Tamandua tetradactyla: one gene and its partner. The protein of the gene in region 1 interacts with the protein of each later gene in a pairwise test. Links are inferred from orthologs where the notes say so. Each region holds a gene or a part of one and is shown on either strand. Other genes may lie near its edges.

Evidence for each region.
Region 2: the proteins of MRFAP1 (region 1) and BRK1 interact in binary tests that used the Homo sapiens proteins (3 or more experiments, as listed by UniProt). The link is inferred for Tamandua tetradactyla from reciprocal best matches to the Homo sapiens genes MRFAP1 and BRK1.

What each region holds. Positions count from the first base shown.
Region 1 is NC_135345.1:6,302,663-6,313,465, reverse strand, and holds MRFAP1 (MORF4 family-associated protein 1), read left to right. Parts: upstream 1-6,207; 5' UTR 6,208-6,412; coding exon 6,413-6,796; 3' UTR 6,797-6,809; intron 6,810-7,358; 3' UTR 7,359-8,376; downstream 8,377-10,803.
Region 2 is NC_135335.1:39,041,578-39,052,898, forward strand, and holds the start of BRK1 (protein BRICK1), read right to left. Parts: upstream 4,479-11,321; 5' UTR 4,435-4,478; coding exon 4,317-4,434; intron 1-4,316. Other genes in the region: FANCD2OS (FANCD2 opposite strand protein), read left to right, coding at 9,607-10,143. UniProt on the Homo sapiens protein: Involved in regulation of actin and microtubule organization. Part of a WAVE complex that activates the Arp2/3 complex. As component of the WAVE1 complex, required for BDNF-NTRK2 endocytic trafficking and signaling from early endosomes.

The DNA of each region.
Region 1 (10,803 bases):
CTTCTGAGCCAGCACCCCTCTCCCATATGTGACATGTTCACACACACGTCTTCGTTCATTTACATAAGTCAAAACCAGGAAGTCCTATTGAAGGCAGAGTGCAACACCCAGCCTGCTCCCAAACGTCTCTGCCACCCGGCCCCTGCTGGGTCTCAGGGAGGTGCAGGCTCAACAGTGTTCCCAAGGGCCTGTGTGCTGAGTGCCCTCACCTCCCTCCCGCGCTGGGACCCGCCCTGCAAGCTACCCAGCTGTGCCTGCTGGACAGGGGTGGAACCTGGAGCACCGAGCGAGGAAGGTGCTTGTCCCAGGCTGCTGGATACAACGAGGCAGGGCTGGGACTTGAACTCAGACTGCAGAGTGTGTGTGCCCCACCCGTGCCGCAGAGGTGCTGCCTGCCAGGCCAGAAAGGCACTGCAGCTGTAGTGTGGGTCCCCTCAAGAGACAGAAGCCACACAGCAGGTGAGAGGTAGATCAATATAAAGAATTAGTCACTGTGATGAAAGAGTAACTTTCACTCTCAGGTATATGCCCAAGGGACTAGAAAACTTATGAGCACACAAAGTCTGTCATGCAGATGTTCACAGTAGCATTATTTCACAATCGCAGCAAGGAGATGAAAATTTAAAAAACCACAGTGAGATCCCACTTCACACCCAGTAGGATGGCCAGAATCATGAAGGCGGAGGATAGCAAGTGCTGGTGAGGATGTGGAGAAATTGGAAACCTCCAGTGTTGCTGGGAGGAATATGAAATAGTGCAGCTACTTTGGAAAATAGTCTGGCAGTTCCTCAAATAATTAAACAGAGTTAACATTCGACCCAGCAATTCCACTCCAAGGCACCTGTTTTAGTCTCCTGGCTGCTAAGGCAAATACCATACAATGGGTTGGCTTAAGCAATGAGAATTTATTGGCCCTCAGTTTTGAAGCTAGGAGTCCAAAATCAAGGCAGCTTCAAGGTGATGCTTTTTCACAGAAGGCTGTGGCACTCTGGGGAAGGCTCCCAGAGACCCTGGATCCTTGGCTTTTCCTTCACATGGCAGTGCACACGACAGCATCTTCTCCTTTCTCTTCCACGTTCCATTGACTTCCAGCTTCCGGCAGCTCCCTTTGGCTGTGTGTGTGTGTGTGTGTGTGTCTAAATTTCATTCTGCTTATAAAAGACTCCAAGAATAACATTAAAATCCATCCCAATTCAGCTGGCCATCCCTAAACTGAAGTGACCTCAAGGGTCCTATTTGCAATGGGTACACAACCCCAGGAATAGATAAAGAACATGTTTTTCTGGGGTATATAACTCCAAGCCACCACAGGAGGTGCCTCAAAACTTGCAAACAACCCAAATATTGCAACCCTCACCTTAGTATTTGCAGATAGCAGGGATTCTGCATAGGCCCTTGGAAAGGCTAAGACCATGGCTAAAACCCCAATGATAGATGACTCTCAGACTTTGAAATCCAATGGAGTCTGCCCTGAAGAATTTCAGAATTGTATGTGTCCAATAACCCCTGTGTCCCTTCCAATTTCTCTCTATGGAAATGAAAACATGTATCGTATGACTGTCCTTTCTTTGTATATTGGCAGCAGATAACTTGTTTTGTGCTTCACAGGTCCACAGCCAGAGGCAATTTTTTTTCCTTATAACAGACCATACCTATATACAACTTTGATATTTCTTATAGTTTCTGATGTTGTATCACATTTGTATTGTTACAGAAATGGTTTAAGGCTTTTGTGATATTGTGATTGAATGAATGTATATTGTATTTGGATAGAACATGTCTTTTTGGATGCCAGATGGTGGAATATGCTGGTTTGAAACTGTTATGTGTTCCAGAAGAGCTATGGTTTAGTCCTGATCCAGTCAGGCCAGGGCTATTGTTTAGGGTTGAAACCTTTGAGAAGATTGTTTCCATGGAGATTGACCCACTCAGTTGTAGGGGTGAACTTTTGCTTGGATTGTTTCCATGTTTATGTGACACACCCAGCTGTGGGTGTGACCTTTTGATTAGATGGAGATGTGCCTCCCACCTTTAAAGTGGGTTTTGATTTGTTTATTGGAGTCTTTAAATGAGGCGACAATTTGGAAAAACCTCAGAAGTGACAGAGCCAACAGAACCAACATGGGATCTAAACATTTGGAGATGCAGAAAATAAATGGCCCTGGGAAAGCTGTTTGAAACCAGAAGCCACACAGCCCAGCAAATGCAAGCCAAGTGCCTTCCCAGCTGACAGAGGTTCTCAAAACATCAGCCTTTCTTGAGTCAATGTATATTTCTGTGGATGCCTTACTTTGGACTTTTTATGGCCTTAGAATTATAAATATGCAACTTAATAAATTCCCTTCATAAAAGCCAAAAAAAAAAAAAAAAGACAACTTACAAACAAGTGTTCAAACCAAAACAGGTACATGGAGGCTCATAGCAGCATTCTTCATAATAACCAAAAAGTGGAAACAGCCTAAATGGCCCCCAACAGATGAATGGATAAATGAGATATACCCACAAAAGAAATTAGTCGGGTGCTTGCTTCAGCAGCATGTGTACTAAAATCAGAACCATACAGAGCAGATTGGCATTGCTGCTGTATGAGCATGACTTGGATATTCATTGTGCCAGTTTGAAACTATTAGGGACCCCAGAAAAGCCATGCTTTAATCCTGATTCAACTTGTGAGAACAGGCCTGTTGTCTAGGGTGGGAAACTTTGATTGGATTGTTTCCACGGAGATGTGACACACCAGTTGTGGGTGTGACCTTTTGAGTAGATGTAGATGTGACTCTACCCATTCAAGAAGGGTCTTGATTAGTTTACTGGAGTCCTTTAAAAGAGGAAACATTTTGGAGAGAGCTCAGAGCCAACACAAGACCCAGACATTTGGAGATGCAGAAAGAAATGCCCCTGGGGAAGGTGTTTGAAGCCAGAAGCCAAAGGACCAGCAGCCATGTGACTCCCAGCTAGACAGAGGCGTTTTGGACCCATTGGCCTTAGTTTGCAAGCTGCTGGAATGCGATCCCAGAAAGAACGACTTTTAAAAAGAGGGATTTACAACAAATGGTGCTGCAATAATGGGACAGTCACATGGAAAAAGAATGAAATGTGACCCCCACCCTACAGCATACAAAATAAATTTTTTAAAAAGTGTGGGGGGGGGGTAATTTATTAAGATGCAAGTTTACAGTTCTAAGGTCGTGAAAATGTCCAAATTAAGGCAAGGTTATAAAAATGTCCAAACTGGCCTGGGGCTGCTGGTCATGCAGCAGGGGAGAGCAGATGAGCAGCAACCCCAGGAAGGTGGGCTTGCAGCGAGAGTTCAGGCCAGGGCGGGGGCCCTTCAGAGCAGATGGGTACCAAGGGCATTGATTTCCACATCAGGAAAGGTCATGGTCAGGTCAGGGCTGCAGAGGGACCTGGTGGATCTGAGGCAGAGGCAGCTCCCCTGATGCCCCCGCACCCACTCCGCTGGGCTGGACAGGGCCAGAAACAGCACGACAGCCTCTTCCTCCTGCAGCGTCCTTCGGGCACCTCGACTGAGAAACGGGGCCTCCCGCTTGTGTTAAAGGAGAAAGACTTGCACCCTAAAGTATCCAGGCTGTTGGGGCCCGATGGGTTTCCCAGAGTCGAGACTTCTTCAGATTTTAGAAAGATGACAAAGTTCACACCCTCCAAAGGGGCTGGGCACCTGTGATCAAACATTCTGCAGTGGACACAGAGTTCACACTAACTGGGGTAAATAAACACCACGAGCTCCCTCGTATACCTTCATGCAAATTAAAATAACGAGACACCACTTCACACCCACCAGGATGGCTATTTTAAAAAGCAGAAGGTAGCAAGTGTCAGGTAGGATGGAGAGAAATAGGACCCACTGGACACTGTGGGTGAGAAAGTAAATTGGCGCAGCCACTGTGGAAGACAGTTGGGCAGTTCCTCAAAAACTTAAACATAGAATTACCGTATGTCCCAGCAATCCCACTCTAGGCAAATGCCCCAAAGAATTGAAAACAGGGACTTGAACAGGTATCTGTACACCAGTGCTCATTGCAGCATTACTTATAATTGCCAAATTGTGGAGGCAACCCGTGTCCAAATTGCCAAATTGTGGAGGCAACCCGTGTCCATCAACAGCTGAACAGATTAAAAAAAGTAGTACATACAATAGAATGTTATTCAGTTGTAGAAAGGAATGACGTGCTGGTACCTACTGCCACACAGATGAACTTCGAATACAGCAGGTTGAATGAAATAAACCAGACACAAAAGGACAAATATTGCATGGTATCTCTTATATGAAGTACTTAGAATAAGTAAACATTTCTTATTACTTAGTAAAAGTAATGAGAGCAGAATCATGGTGACCAGGGCAGCAAGGAGGGTGGGGTGTGAGCTTCTGTTTGGGATGATGAAAATATTCTGGAACTCTATAGTGGTGGTTACACAACATTGTCACTGTAAACTTAATGTCACAGAATTGTATACCTAAAAATGATTAAAATAATTTTTATGTTATGTTTATTACAATAAAAAATTTAAAGGTAATACGTGTAGTAATAAAAATCACAGTGGAAATCAAAATTTATTTTTAACCAAATGATAATGAAAATCCAATACCAAAAGTTGTGGGACGCAGCTAAAGCCATACCTGATAGGAAAATAAGATCTTAAATATTAGAAAATGCAGCATAGCTATTACAAGGTGTCAACAATAGAGTGGTATATGGGAATAAAAAGCACCTAAAAACTACAGACTATAGCTAACAGTTATATTTTAATATTCTTTCATCAACTGTAACAAAGGTACCACACCCATGCTAAGGGTCAATAATAGGTGGGGATAAGGGGTATGGGATTTTTCTTTTCAGAGTCATGAAAGTGTTCTAAAATTGCTTGTGTTGATGAATGCACAACTCTGCGATTATACAGAGAGCCGCTGGTTGTATACTTCGGATGGAGTGTATCGTGTGTGAACATATCTCAAACTGCTTTATTTAAAAAAAAAAGCATTGAGTTAAAAGTCCAGCCTAAGAAGTTGAAAAGGGGACAACAGAATAAACCAAACACAGTAGAAGGAACAGATATTAATAATTAAGAGAAAACAAAGGCATGACAGGGAGCAGGCCGGGATGAAAGCTGGGCAGCGTGGCTTTCTGCCTTGCCCACAACTGCCTCCCCGACGGGGCCCACACCAAGCTCACCCCAGGGAGGTGATGGATTTTTGCAATCCATCCAACTGGTGGGGTGCCATTTCTTTATATTCATACAAAAAGCTTATCAGCATTACCGCTGCTTCTGGTAAATCAATAAAACTCAAAAGTTGGGTTTTCGTTAATAACAACAAAAGTATAAGAAATACTAAAAATCTGAGAAAAGTCTGTTTGGTGTTTACTACGCGTTTTTAGGACTTCTCTTAATCCTTAACTCTGCCTCATTCAAAACAGGGGCTTGGTTCCATTTAGCTAACTGGAAAACAAGCTGTGATCACTGGGTCAAGAGGCCTGGGTTCATTTCCTTCAAAACTGGTTGCGTTAAGTCAATATTAATGCAAATTTCCTGCGGGGCAAGTTCTGCTCGGGGCGCTAGGGACCCAGCGCTGGGTAGCACGAGCCCCCGAAGGGATCGGTGAAAAAGCAGAGCTTGGTAAAAAAGTCAGGGAAACCTTTTTCGGTATAACTCAAGGTCCAGGTCCGGCAGAGCTGGAGCCTCGGGATGGTCACACCAGGCTTTCTACCTTTGGGGTGTGGGAGACTCGTCTGGCTAAAGGATACCCAGCCACACGCGACTGTGAGCCACGGAAGAAAATTAAACTTTAAACCGGCTAAGCGGGTGGCGTCAGGCTACTGCACCCAGGGGAAGGGGCCGAGAGCGCCTTGAACTACATCGCCAGGTTGGTCCCCCTCCTCTGGCGTAAGGAAAACAGAATTGACATCCTAAAGCGCGTCAAGACCGACGCCCGAGAAGTCCTTTAGGAAGGGGGCACGGGAAGCACCCCGAGAGGAAGAGAAAGGACCGAGAGGAAGAGAAATGACCGCAGCGGCAGGACGGAGGAGGAAGGAAAATGCAGTGCGTGCGCGTGCGTGCCTGCGTACGCACAGCCGCGGTGGCGGGGCCGCGTCCTCCATTAGCCACGTGCGCGCGCCCGCACCTTTTCCCTACCCGCGGCGTGGCCGTAAAGGGGCGCGGCCGTGCCGTAAAAGGGGTCGCAACCCGCAGAGCGCTGGTTGACGGCCGCGACTCCATTTTGTTCGCGCTTCTCTGCTCCGAAGTCGGTAGTTTCCTCGGCGTCTGCGAGGCGAAAAGTTTAAAAAGGATAAAAGTTTTGAAGAATTTTCTGGAACTCTGTCGACAAGCACAGTCGCTCTCCACCTGAATCTCTCCGATCGACGTCGATACTGCGGCTCTGAAGTAGCGGGAAAAAATGCGGCCTTTGGACATCGTCGAGCTGGCGGAACCCGAGGAGGTCGAAGTGCTGGAACCCGAGGAAGATTTTGAGCAGTTTCTGCTCCCAGTCATCAACGAGATGCGGGAGGATATCGCGTCTCTCAACCGAGAGCACGGGAGAGCCTACATGCGGAATAGGAGCAAGTTGTGGGAGATGGACAATATGCTCTTCCAAATAAAAACCCAGGTGGAGGCTTCGGAGGAGAGCGCTTTGAATCATCTCCAGAATCCCGACGACGGAGTCGAGGGTAGAGCGACGAAAAGATGCGAGAAGGCCGAGGAAAAGGCCAAAGAGATTGCGAAGATGGCAGAGATGTTGGTGGAGCTAGTCCGCAGAATAGAGAAGAGCGAATCGTCCTGAAGGGGAAGCGACGGTAAGGCCGGCCGCCCGTGGGAGCTGGGTTGACGCTTTAAACTGGGTCACATCTCTCCGAGAAAAATTATTTTCTAGCCACCCACGTGAGGTGGATATTCAGAGGAAGGGAAGGATAAGAGCATGCTTGACTTGTAACTTTGGTCCTAGTTGATACCATTTACGTTTGGGTAGTTTTGGTTTACTCTGGTAACTAGGGAAAATAAGTTGTGTATTTTTTGTTTAGTTATTTTGGCTTGGTATGTGTTTGGTTGAAACCAGAGGTCCCCACCAGTAGACTAGAGACAGAGTAAGATAGAGTAAGCCTAAATATCACGAAGGGAACAGAAACAAACACATGATACGCCATCGAAAGGCGTGGGGGGATAGAGATAGAGAATTACGAGAGATGTCCGGTATTGGACAATTCCAAATTTTGCTGGAAGACTGGAAGGAGTCAAGTGGCATTCCAGAGGAGGTGGCACCCTTGCTGATTGAATTTTTTGAGGGTTTTTGGTTGGTTTGGCCCCAGAATTAACCTCTTGATAAATTTCTCTCAATTGTGCTTTAGGTTTACAGCCAATGGATTCTCGTCACCTGATGGAGATTGGCTGACACCCTGGAGAAGCTGAAACCAGAGAGCCTTTTGTTTTCTCTCTTTTTTCCTCTGTCTGCACTCTGTCCTCAATTACACTACGTTTTTTGCTATGGTCTGTGGTTAATGACCTCAATATAAGTTGATTGTTAAATAGTTTTGTTTCTGGAAATAACTTCATTTGTAAAATGCTCGCACATAAGGGAATTAGGGCCTAGATTGTAAACTCTTGCAGCAGTGACATTTGTTCCTGGGCTTCAGTTGTTATTTCTAAATTTTGAGGTACTTTGCTCTTTGTTTGTGGCCTGGTAGCTCCGTGGAACTTTGGGTGTGTTTGTGACACCTGAGACTCGGAGTTGGAGCTCTCCAGCTCTGGAGGTACTCAAGGAGCTGCATTAATTCTGCAAGACGAGTCCATGCAGCAGCTGCTGAAGAAGCTGAAGAAGGGATCGTACTTCAACTGGGGGTGTGACTGGGGCTGATCTGGTTAGAACTAAGGTAAATCAGAAAGCAGGGTGGAGGATGGTATTGTCTGTATTTGGGGACTTTAGTTTCTGCGTAAGACCAAAGGAGGAGAGATTTATTCAAATTTTAAATTTTCTGTCACACACTATTTGGTGTAACCTGTCTAGTCACTTTGTTTGGACAACCTAACTCAGCTTTGACATGGAACCTGGATTAGGGGATGAAAACTTGGTATTCTGTGCAGGTTGATGTAATTAATTCCCTGATACATTCTGGAGTGTTCTGGGCATAAAATGAAAGAACTATTTGCAAAGTCCCTTGAGGGACTGGGAAAGGAAAGCAGAAACTGTATGCATTGGACCCTAAATTGGATAGAGAAGAGGCTGCCTCAAGGTTCACAAATTGTCCAGCTTATAAGTTCATTTGAATAACAGACCTGACACAAGTATTTGAGGTCAAAACCCTACCTGTTAAAACAAACAAAAAACTTACTATGTTAATAAAAGTATTCATTTGCTTGAAAAGACAAGGCCTAAAAAGTTAATTTGTTAAGAAATGGATGTTCTTTCAGCATGAAATTTTTCTTTGGTTGGTTGGTGTTATCAAGTGGGCCATGAATTGCTTACTGTTTACAAGGCTCTCCGCATGTTTCTGATTGTTGGGAATGATATACTCTCCGCATGCTGCTGTGAGAATGGGTGTGGAAAGAACAGGCTGTTCTTACTGTAGAAGGAAGCTCATCTGATCCTGTGGTCCAGGCCCCTGCTTTCAGAGAACCAAAGTACCTACAGTCATCTTTCATATACAGACTGGAGCATTTTCTACTCTAATCCTTGCATTAGGAATATGGGGATAAGATATGTTCATGGTGGGATGGGATAAGACATAGAATAGAGGTGGTGTGATGCCCCAACCCTCAGGATGAAGGTCTTATTCTCCCAGCTGCTGCAAGTGTTGCTGACGGACTGTTCTTGGTTAGCCCTCTAATGGACTGGTGGTGTAAGGGCTCTATCCCTCTCACCACAATGTGGGGCAACCTCGAAGGGCTTCTTAGCTTCCTTGGGGCATGCTGAGACCTTCCTTGGGACTGTATCATAGCCCAACCTCTACCCAATGCTGCTTCCCTTCCCTTCCATTGGTATTAATCCCAGTAAATTTACCTGCATTTTAATCTTCATTTCAGAGTCTACTTCCTGGGGAAGGAATCTGTTTGTAAAAGTACAAACCAGTAGAAAACCATGTGTCACAAGCTCGGTACAGATACATGTCATGTCTCAAGAGAATACTGAACCGGGAATCTAGGAAAGGTTTTTCAGAGCAGATGGTTCATGAACTTGGCCTTGAAGGATGAGTATAGCTTTCAAGATCGAGAAGAGAGTGAAAAAGGGAACAGAAAAATGACAGGTTCCGAATCTTCCATGTGAGTTCCAGTAGTGGGGAGAAGTGGATAGGATGAAATTATGAACCAGGAAACAAAAATGCTGCATTTGTCTAAACTTAAGAAATTAACATTGCTACAGTACTACTAACTAGATTGTAGGTATTACTCAGATTTCACCAGATTTCCACTGATGTCTTTTTTCTGCTTCAGGATCCAATCCAGGATATCACATTAAAACAGATGGCACAAAATTAAAAAACAAATAAGAATGAGCACCCCCCCAGAACATTGTTACTCTTCCAAAACAACTATTACCAGTTTCTTGTATATTTTTCCAAATATGCATAACTTTCCCAAGTTTTTTTCTTTAAACATAAATGGTAGTATACTAAATGCACTGTTACATTCTTTGATAGTTTTTTTCTCCCCTTACTTAAAAATACAGCTTGGAAATCTTTCCCATCGCAGTATCTGGTTCTGCATTCTTTTTTATAGCTGCACAGTATCCATTGTTTAGTGATTTTTAAGCACATACAAGTTTGAAAACTACTGTCTTCAGTTCTCTTCAATAACTCCTGAATTGGTTGGAACTGCAGTGCAGCCACAGCTTTCCAAATTCCCCAGCTCCTGAAATCCTTCCTCTCAGCTTGCTGGCAGTTGGAGGAACAATTGAATAGTTTGCATTTTGCATTTTCTAAGTAAAGAATTTGATAGGAGCCATTGTGAGGGGCAGGGCTGTATAGTCATTTAATTGGGTATGGCTGGGGTGACCAGGTTGTTGGTTATAGAGCCACACATCCCTCTCAAGCCCCAGGCTGTCCCTTTCCTGGCTGTCCTGCAGAGGTCAGGTCATGGATAACTACAGAAAGGCCAGTGGAGGGATTGTTTATTGGATGAGTTCCCGATAACTGCAGAGGCCACCTCAAGCTGGAACCTGTCTGCAGGATTTTGGTGTTTTGGTTGTGATATGTCCTTCGGTATCAAACTATAGGAGGAAGCATGGGGACTGGGAGCATAGGGGCATCACCTAACCCAGGCTGGGAGATGATGAAAGGCATCCAGGAAGAGATGTATTGTGTGCATCCATGAGAAATGGAGGTGAGGTGTATAGAATGTCCCAGCCCCACTGGTCCCACCCTTGGTCAGGATGAAGCCAGGAAGACCACAGAAATTACTGCAGAGGCTTCTACATCTGTGGGCTCAGCTCAGATGGACGTGGTAGAACTGGAACTGGCAACAGCCAAAGGCACGATCAGTACTTTGGGGAAATGGCACTGATATCTGACCCCAGGTGAAAAGGATTGCTGGAAAGAAGAGTTCCTAACGCTGCTGGAGATAAAGTTCAGAGAGTGCCAGGCTGTCGTGGACCATGGGCTGGGAGATGGGAAACAGGACTTTCAGTCTTCCTCCCACTTGTTCTGTTGTGTGAACTTGGGCAAATGACTGCCTGTCTGGTCCTCAAATTGTTTGTCCTTAAAACAAAAGGGTTGCACTGTCTAGTCTCTAAAGGTCCTTTCCAAGCCCTCGCGTTTTGTTATGTCAAAGTTTCATAAAGCATCCTAGTCACTTACAGAA
Region 2 (11,321 bases), on another chromosome or scaffold:
TTCTTCTCTGAAGTCATACTGCACAGAACCCTCAGACTACAAAAATCAACCCTTTCTCTTGAATTGTTTTGTAGGTTTTGTTTCTCCAACAATTTCTTAGGAGTAGGTACTATGTCCATTCATATTTATTTTTCACATCATCTGACACACTGCTGGAGTCACAATAGGCATGCTATATTTGTTGGCTAAAGCATGGAAACTGATTTTTAAATAGCCATATTCTCTATTTTTTCCTTATATTTCTCTATACATTCTGAATTTTATGCAGTGAGCATATATTCACTTTAGAATCAGAAAAAAGAATATAAAATAAATTATAATCTGAGATAATCTATTTTTAGAAACTTCACCAATTCCAAGGCATAGAACAGGCCTATTGTTAGGGTGTTGTCACTGCATTCTAATCTGTTGTGTCCTCAGGTTCAAGTGGTCCTCCAATTCTGAAAGAGAAAACCACAAAGAGATGGTGACTCTACTCTCACCAACTGGAACCACAGCATAAAAGCTGTACAGAAAGTCATTTTATTAGCTATCTTGGAAAAAAGGTTCCCTTTCCAGAGCACATGGCCTGTGCAGATCCTCTGGTCAGGGTAGGCACTGCAGGATGGCTGTGATTTTCAAAAAGCTCCAGCTGCCCCTCAAAAAAGTAAAAAACTCCTATTGAATCTTTGCACCACCAAATCATATTATCATAAACCCCACAGATTTATTTATCAGAACTGAGGAGTCATGCTAAGAGCTTTGAGTGGGAAGATACATCCCACACACCCTCATCCCAAATCATCCAGTGCCAAGAAATGTATTCAACTCTATCTCTATGATTCATTCAGTTTCTCACCGTTGGTCTTTATCTAAACTCTTATCTCATCATACTGTCAATCTTCAGGAACTTGCCTCACTCACACCTAACAACTAAGTAAAATAGCTTTAACTTTTAATATTGCTTGATATTTGTTCTTTTTTGTCATTATTATTATTTTTTGCTTTAAAAAGACTAAATTCACCTTCTAAAATCTTCAAAAACTACCTAGCAATTACTCAAATATTAGACCATTACCATCACTTTATGGGAGGCCTAAGTTAAGGGAAGCCATTTTTTTCTAGCTCCTACAGATAGGAATTCTGTGTATCTGTTGACTCAGTCTAGGACTTGTTAGAAATCTCCAATGAAATGAAAACACTTCTCCATCTGATCACAAAATGTCAATCACTCATCTAAAAATCTCGGAGCCGATTTTTCTTCCTTATAAAACAAGGGACATCTATCCTGTACAATTTTCAGTTAGATCTCAAAATCACAAACTATAGATTTAGTGGTGTGATCTGACAGGAAGATGGATGCCAAAGATAAACGTATATGAACTAGAACTTTACTAATATAATTCTGAACTCAGAAATGAAGTTATTACATTATTTAGGATCTAAATTTGGGGACTGAAATCCTAGATCACTTTCAAATTTGGAAAAACAGTCTAGCTTATTTTAGATGGCTTACTAATTGAAATGATATATCTTGTTTGGATATTCTGTATGTATCAGAAATCAACTCCTCCCAGATAAAAAAGTCTTTAAGTTCTGCCTTTTAAAACAAAGTTAAATATATCAGTGATTTTTCCATGTACTTCCACTGCCTCTCTAGATTAAAGAAGAGTCTCAAAGCTATGATCCTGTCATCGTTTCATTCTTTCCCTAGCACGGATATTTTGGCTTCTCTTATCTAGCCCTTCCTCTAAGGGAATGCTATGAATAAAGAATGTGGTGAAGAACCCCCAACAATATTTCATCTCTCTAGGAAAGCAGGAGAAACTAGTGATGAGAACCAACATTCAAACTGTCGCCACAGAATGCAAACAGACCAGTATTTCTGAAATGTGTCCAGTTTATTAAAACCAATTACCTTAATCTCTTTGAACTTGGGTTTCCTGACTCCAAATCCACTCACTTTCTCCATTAAACCATACAACCTTATTATATTCCTCAAAACATTTCAGGATACATGAGGGCTATGCTTTTTTGACCACCATTTCCTACTCTCTATAACAACCTGTATGTGTGTACATCTAGCCCTGACATATACATCTATACTATACTACTGTCTTCTTTCATAAGGATAATCAATACCTTCATTCCCATTCCCTAATGAGTGAGGAAATCCACCATACTAAGACAAGCCTCTTCCTGGCAACGTGGGACAGAAATCCTAGAATGAGTTGACACTCAGCATCAGGGGACTGAGAAAACCTTCTCGACCAAAAGCGGGAAGAGTGAAATGAGACAAAATAAAGTGTCAATGGCTGAGAGATTCCAAACAGAGTCGAGAGGTTATCCTGGAGGTTATTCTCACACATTAAATAGATATCACCTTGTTATTCAAGATGTAATGGAGAGGCTGGAGGGAACTGCCTGAAAATGTAGAGCTGTGTTCCAGTAGCCATGTTTCTTGAAGATGACTGTATAATGATACAGCTTTCACAATGTGACTGTGTGATTGTGAAAACCTTGTGTTTGATGCTCCTTTTATCTACCTTATCAACAGACGAATAGAACATATGGAATAAAGATGAATAAGAGGGGGAACAAATGTTAAATTTAGATTGAAATGCTGGTGATCGGTGAGGGGAGGGGTGGGGGGTATGGTATGTATGAATTTTTTTCTGTTTTCTTTTTATTTCTTTTTCTGAATAGATGCAAATGTTCTAAGAAATGATCATGATGATTATGCAACTATGTGATGATATTGTGAATTACTGATTATATATGTAGAACAATGATCAAAAGTTAAGAATGTTTGCGTTTGTTTGGTGTTTAAAAAAAAATTCCGAAAAATAAAAAGATTTTAGTCCTGCAGATGAGTAAAAAATATGGATTAAAAATAAATATATAATAGGGGGAACAAACATTAAAATAAATTGGGTAGAAGGAAATACTAGTGGTCAATGAGAGGAAGGGATATGTATGTATGAATTTTTTCTTTTTATTTCTTTTTCTGGAGTGATGTAAATGTTCTGAGAAATGATCATGGTGATGAATATACAACTATGTGACGATATTGTGAGCCACTGATTGCACACCAAGTATGGAATGTTCATACATTAAGAATATTCGTGTTGTATATTGATTGGTTTTATTAATAAAAAATTTTTTTAAAAGATTATAGTCCTGTACATCTTGCACCTAATCATTTTAACAAAAAAACACAGAGCTCTGCTTTGTTTGAAGTTGTCATCACTTCATCTCGAAAATTAGAAATTACTTGGCAGGAAATTATTCTATGTCCCCCATAGTGTGCTCCCCCCACGCCCCCCCAGTGCCTGAGAGAATGCCTGGTACTGAGACTTAATTCCTCTTTTTGATGCTTTCTGACAACACTCTTGCTCTGTCACATTTATACTCTTTAGGACTCATCGGCCATCTAGCTAGAAAATAATTCATTAAAAAAAATTATACATCACTTTTCCATATTTAATCTTAATTGTTTAATGTTGAATTAATGTAACCAAAGCATACTTGGAGAACATGGAGTAGAATTTTGTACAGGCTTGCTCTCAAGAAGGGTATGGAATAGTGCAGAAAATTTTTACGACTGTCACAAGCACGATATACTAAAGAAAGATTCTGGCAAAGTTATCTCTATGCTCAAGTCTCCCGCCCTGTGTTAGCTGTGTGGAACCGGCTAGAAGCATAAAAAACACCCGCTTACAGCTATATGCTATATACCAGCAATACAGAGATTTCCACGGTCTTATAATGCTCTGGACTCTACCTATCTCTCTAACCTCAATTCCTACCGCTTTCAGCAAGCCCACGGTAATCAGGAAGGAAGGAACCGCGAGAGCAGTGGCTGAAGGGACGACGGAAAAAAATGCGGAAACAGCACGTAGCACGCAAAGCTTCGTCTTGACTCGAACGACATGGCGACATGTCCGCTCAAAAATCAAAACAGTCTTTAAGCAAGGGAGTGACAGTCGTTAAGAGTGAAAAGCAGGAACCGGGATGAAAGCGGGGCGCAAAAGAGGCAGAAGAAAAGCCGCAGAGAACGGATAGGGCCGCTTGAGATCGGACTGAGAAAAGGAAGGCCTTGGTGGATAAGGACTTGGTGGATCCAGCGTGGCCCATGAGCCCAGCCTGGGACAGGAAAACCCCACCGAAACTGTCTAAAGGAGCCTAGGGATCAGGGAGGGAGAAGTGCGGCCCGAAGGAGGATGCGAAAAAGAGCCAGAGCCGAGAGCTCCCGGCGTGCCCTATCAAAGCTTCTCCTCAGCGTCCCCGCCAAACCGCTTCGGAGGTCTCCCTACTCCCCCGGATCGCCCACTTACCGAACGAATTGAGAAAGTCCGCGATTTTCTTGATGCTGCTGGTGATGACCTCAATGTACTCCCGGTTTGCCCAATCCTGGTGAATCTCGCGCTGCACCGGATCCTCCTGGCCCGCCATGGCGGCCGCTGAAGGGAGAATAACTGCGCAGGCGCACCGTCCCTACAGGCCGCCAGTGCGCCTGCGCTGCCAATCAAACCCGCTGCCTTGACTCCCACGGACTCCGCGAGCACTGTGGTGCGTCTGCGCAGTGTTAAGTCCTCGGCTGCGTTCTTGCTCTTCTCCCACGCTCGGGAGAACAGATGCGGCGACTCAGGCCGGGAGAGTGGAATACGCACGTGTCAAAGCTACCCTGTAACCCGCCGTTGTGGTCGTTAGAAGGCGCTTGGGCCAGTGTCACCAGCTCTTTCATCTGCTCCAAACTAAGGAGGCGCAGTATGTGTCAGCAGTGAGGTGGGCACAGCAGTTTAAACCACACTACATACAAGTCATTTAAAAAACGTTTCCAACAACGCAACGTGACATCCCTCCTTGTATATATCAAATTAACAAAACGTGTTTTTAAAGTTAAATAACTAGTGATGGCAAGGCTGAGGTGAAATTGGTAGGATCATAAATAGTTGATCACATTGTCCCTTGAGAAGGAAATTTGATAACTGCCGTTTGACCTAATATCCTTAAGAAAATCATTGAAAAGGAAAAAAAAAGAAACCACAAAATAACTTAAAGCTTAAAGGTGCTCTTTGAAGAATTATCAAAACAAAATAAATCTCCAGCAATAGGGAATAACTAAGCAAAGGTATAGCCACTTAAGGCAACACCATGCAGTCATTTAAAAAGTATGGTAATGTGAAAACATGATACATTAAAGGGAAAAACAAAATACAAAATTTTCTTTCATTGCTGCTTGAGGACAAGAAAGATATACCAAAATGTCAATATCTGATTTGTTAAAATAATGGAATTGCAAACTTTTTGTTTCAAGGAATATTTACAATCTGATTTGTGCTGTAAAAGCCTTTTATTAAAAAGTGGCTGAAGAGTCATTTCTTCTAGTAGTAGCTGAGAAGAAACCATTACTAACAGTCCTTTACTTGGGTGGAAGATTTTACAACCTATAAAGACACTTTTATATAGCATCCTCACAAACCCTTTGAGAAGTCAGGAAGAGGTTATGTTATCATCATTTATTTATATAATTATTTTCTGGAGGACACATTCATTTTCAAAGCTAAATCCAAGACAGGTTATAAGGCACACCCAGAGAAAATAGTATTGTTATTTCCCGAAGAGAGGTTCTATACCTTGAAATAATTTTTTTCAGGGTATTAGTAAGAAGGGCTATTCATGCAGAACAATAATAAAAATAAATAACAATAATAAGCAAAGGCCAAAATTTCAGGCACATGAAATATGAACATATTGTCTTCACATTTATTTCAAGTTGACTTGATTAAGTAGATACATCCAGGTATATCTAGCCACATTAAGCAGTGTAATTTTTCAGAGAATCTCTGATATACTTAGAGAGAAGGGTAACTTCAGGCCAAAACATTTTATTTCTTCGGGAAATAACAAGTTTAGTTCATGGGAAGATGGTTGAAATTTTGCTTCATGGCTTGTGTTTTCTGGAAAACGAAGAAATAAAGCATGAAACCTAAGAATCCTTTCCTCCTTCTCCTGGCTCTTCTCCTCTCACCTTCCTCTTTTTTTTTCCCCCTTCTACTCCCTCCTTGGTATTTTCCTCAATCTCTTTTGTCAATGTCTCTCCCTCTTCTTCTTTTGGAATTTGAAGAGGTTGCCCCCATCTTCATCGCCCTCGTTTTGTGTCTTATTTTCTTCACATTCTTCATCCTTCCTCTGATCCCTCTGTGGTGCTCTGCTGCTACATCACCACTGGGAAGGGAAGATGCTTCTTTGAGTGATTTCGCTGCCTTTATCATATAAATTGAGATTGATCTGAGAATTTTTGTGAGGGTAATAGTTTACGTTTCAAAATCTTTTAACCATTCAGGTATGTGTATCTTCATCCCTCATCTGATGTTTACAACAACCCAGACTCCATTATCTTTTCACTGTACCACACTGAAAATAGGCTCAAGTCTATCCGAGCTCTTCCACATATTCACACAAATCATTTCTAAAGTAATTGATATTGACAACTAAGGAGCCCTAGGCACCCATGAAGGCCCCCTTCCAATCAAGACCCCGCTTTTCCAACTGATGCTGTTGAAGTAGTATATGGCTCACATGCCTCAGAAATCAGACAGACCTTTTCCTTTAAAAGGAAGGCCATTTCGGTTTCAAATCTCAAATCTAGAGATGAGTCTTTTTACCCCCCTGAGCTTTCGCTCCTTCAAGTGTATTACTAAAATAACAACCTCAGTGGGTTGGGACTGTTGGAAGGATTATGCAAGCAAGGCTAAAGTAAAAACTAAGAACAGAGCCTAACGAAGCAAAGGACTCAAGATAAGTTAACATTTTCTTCTTATGCAGAAAGTAGCAATAAAATACACCTATAGCTGTCCAGCAATTTCTAACCATACAGTGTTGTTTTGGAGACTTTCATTAAAAAAAAAGGCAATAAAAACAACTGTTTTGCCTGCTTTTTAAATATCAGGTATCTCTCTTATTCAAGGGGAAAATTAAAAAAAAAATTACTGGGGGAAAAAGTTTTGTAATTAAAAAATCTTTTGCATCTCTTCCAAATCTCATCATTCTCCTTCCCTCTTTCCATTTTTTGTCTTCCCTCTAACCTCTTTCCACTTACCTCTCCTGCAGGGCATGCAAACATGCACAGTGAGCATCTGACAATGCTTCACAAGCTCCTTAAACCTATCTGCTTCCTGGCCAGGATCTATCCTTCAGCTTCACTTAAAGAACCAGAGAAGGAGACAGCCCTTATTTTTGCTGCCTTCTACAGCTTGCAGAGTACAAGGCAATTTCTGGGTGTATAATGGAAGAGCAGGTAGGTAGTTAATTTCTCTCACAAATACTTCATACTGCCAGGCACTGGGACTCTGAAGGTGAACTGGTTAGATGTCCCTTCTTTCTTTGGTGACCCAGGATAATTGTTTGAGATGATGTTTTACAAAGTTGTCAAATCACTCTTTTACTGTGGTGAAAGTGTCATCTTTTACCATTGTAAGGATGGGACAGGATCATACTTTTCGAGATGTAATAGAAGGTAGTGAAAGGTTTTTGGTCAGAAAGTGAAGGAAAGACGTGTTATCATCTATCTTCTTGCTTTTGATGGCCTGGCGTTTATGAAGTTCTGTCTCCTTGTACTGGGATCTTTCCAATACAGCAACATACAGCTTCAGAGCCTAGATAAACTACCTGAACATCCACCGAACAGGGTGTAATGTAAATCCGGGGCTTTAATTCTGGTTCCTGACCTCTCAAGCGTGCCAGTCTTCTGTTCCATGTGTTGGAATGGATGCTGAGATTGAGACTTGATCAAAGGCGCACAGGCAGGGAGGGGTGGTGGGGAGAATGGGGAATCGAACCCGCGCTCCTCAAGGCTCAGTCCCCGGCCAAGGGTTCCCAGGAGATGGGAGTGGGGAGATCAGCCCCTAAGGCCGTCAGCTGGCGCGCCTCGAGCCCTAACCTCCCCCCCCCCCCCCCCCCCCCCCCGACCCCCACGCCGCGGCTCAAGATCCCGGGTCACAAAGGCGGTTGCCAGGCACCCGGTGGAGAAAAGATGCGGCCCGGGACCGGCGACCGCCACTCTGGAGCGTGGGCCCACGGAGTTCAGGAGGTGAGCCCCCGGCCCTGATGGTGGCACCGGGCTCGGGCTCCCACCACCACCTCCGTCTTGGCCAGAGCCGTGTGGCCCCCGCCCCCCGGTAGGGATCCCCGGGAAACAAGCCCCTTCTCCGGGCTGGGAGGGGGTGCCGCCTCCACTCCCGGCAGCTCCGACCTCTCCAGATCTCCGTTCACAGTTCACGAGGACCTCAGCTGCACTTTGGCGCTGTCCTTCCCTTTCCCAGGTGGGGAAATCAAGGGATGGAATTCCTTGAACGGGAGGAGTGGTAGGAAGGGGAAGCCTGTTTGGCCAGAAAGAGGCATCTCTTCTCTGGGAGACATTAGAGCAACTTGAAAAGACTTCCTAGGTTCACCACCTCCCACCCCCCGAAGTAGATGATGGGACTTCCGAATGGTGGGGGTGGGGATGAACTGGTAGAAAGGCCCTGGAGTCAGGAGCCCTTCATTCCGCCTTGGTTCTGCCGAATATCTGTGCTGGACCTTTGATAAAACCTTGCACCTATTTCTCTATTTTGTCAGAGGAGATGAGTTGGGAAAAGGATCCTGGAATTAAATGTGTTTTTTAGTCATATGCCGGGAGGAGTTAAGAAACCACCCATAATGGTGTCTACAGAGTAGCCCTAATCTTGGATATATGCTCTTATGCATGATATCATATGCATGAGATCAAGCATCATTTCATAGCTTTTTTTTGGAATAGACAACTGTCCCTTGGATGGCAGGCTCTTCTCATCCTAGGGCAGCCCAGATACTTGAACAGTTAGCATGTGCAAAGTGTCTGCATAGAGGATTAGAAACACACTAGTTGAAGAAAATCAACAAACCTCCTTTACACTAACCATTGTCAGTGGAGGGCTTCTAGTGTGAAATGTCATGAAGAGTTCTTTTTAAAACATCATCTCTAAGGTCTCACAAACTATGGTGGAAATGCCAACTTTTCACAGAATTTCTGGGCCAATTACTGGAGAGGTTGGGATCAAACCTGTCACTGTTACCTTTTGTGGGAGAAGAAAGGAGTCAGGGCAATATACTTGGCTAGAAAGAAAAGGTATCTGCTGTGTCCCTTAACATAATAGGTAGGTGCTGAAAATGTGTTAGCTCCTACTGAATTCAGAAAAACGTTTTTATACTAGCAATTTTGAAGTGTAATGATGGAAAAATTCCAATTCTATTTGGATAAATTCTGCATTAGCAATATGCTCCAAGCCCTTGGAAGATTATCTTCAAAGGAAACAGAAAACTGAGGTCTTAAAAGATATGGTGGGTCTCCCCATAAATGAGGAAAAAACACACCTAGAAAATAGAAAAAATAATTTTAAAGACTGGCCTTTGGAAACATTTTTTCCCTCCCTTACTGCCCTTTATAGAATCACTAACACACTAACATCTATTGAAATAGTTCATGGGAACTACAGAGTATAAGTTTAAATCACTAATGAAACAGATGTGAATGTGAATGGCCATGTCCTCACCAAGCATGTCAGGGAAATCCCATGCTCTGATTCCTCTTCTTTAGGACTGTCAATGGCGGGATACCAGCTCTGGTCACCATGGACCCCACTGGACGAGAGTTTCCAATGGCTGCGGCACACAACACCCACACCCTCTTCCAAGCACCCTTTTAGGGCCTCTCCCTGCTTCCCACATACTCCTTCTGACCTTGAAGTGCAGCTGTGCTTTCAAGAGGTCACTCTAGTCCTAGACAGCCCATTCCTGGAAACTGGGGTGAGTCCCAAATTACCCTGCCACACGTCAGAGCTCCGGGCTATGAACAACAAGAAAGGGCTGTTAAGGAAGCCCCAGCCTGTCCGTCTCAATGGGGTGGATTCTGTGTTTGGGAGGGTTATCACAGCCCAGCCACCAAAGTGGACTGGGACCTTCAGAGTGTCAGACAAGTCAGCCTTTTGCAAAATCATCAGCCGGGAACACCAGTGGCCCACTGGACTTAAGGAGCCTCAAATTCAGATGACAGTGACCATGTGCAAACAAATGCTGCGTTCTATCCTCTTGTTATATGCAACATACAAGAAGTGCACCTTTGCCTTGCAGCACTCCAAGTAAATGGTCTCCGTCTGATTCCTAATTCCTCATGCCATGTCCTTTGGTATATAACTGAAGCTTACAGAAAAATGTTCATGTGACCGAAACTGTGACATCACCCCAACCATCTTGCTTTTCTGTCAAGCCATGACAATTCAGAAGCCCCTTTCCTACCTTCCCCTCCAAAACAGGGCCAGTGACACAGAGCAAGAAAGAACATCTCCATTGTAAAGTTGAACAACTATTTAAAAGAGTCAAACTAGTGTTGACATGTACATGTGATAAAGAACCATTAAACAAACTATATAAAACAATGAGCCTAGTGGGACTTTACTTAAATGCCTAAGACTATAACCGTTCTGGGGGGAGAGGTATGAGAGAAGGGGATATATGGATTTCTAGGAACCAGAGGATGAATGGATCAAAAATCTACATGCAAGTCAAGGATTAATTTAAAAACAAACATATATCTTCTCTTCACCAAAACTATAAAACCCTCAAAACCAAAAAAACAAACCTACATAACCAGCTATACCCTAAAAACACTAGAAAGTACAAGGGTAGATATAATTTATTAACATATATTAAACAATATTCACAGCCTGGCAAAAAAGAACTTGGTAGTAGCACTGAAACTAGGCTTTCTGGCAGAAGACAGAGTTTCCCATTTTAGCTAAAGTATACTCCTAAATATTCGATTTCTAATAAACTATAAGTAATTTTGAGGTGTTCTTATAAACAGATTATAGGTATAACTCATAGAATAATGTGGAAATAAACCTTATATAATCACAACATGAGTTTGATAGTGCCTTTTTTTCTCTAATACTAACATGATGACAAAAACAAAAAACAAACAAAACACCCCAAATATTCCTCGTTGACTTCCTTTGGGCATGAACAAAACATTCAAGTCACTACTTCAAAAAGATCACAAAGATCTCATCTCAAATAAAGATGGTCCTAATAATAGAATATATGATTTTAATAGGTAAAACTGATGTGTTAACACCTGTCTCCATTATTTCCCTGAATAAACCCCAATTCAATGCCATCTAATCCTTGAACAGTGATAGGAGGAATGAGATAGCTGAGACAGAACACAAAAGGGAATTTATTTGTAAAACTGGTACAAGTTTAAATTCTAAAATAATTTCAATAGTTTCAAAACTAGCTCCCAAGGCTTAGAATCTTGTATC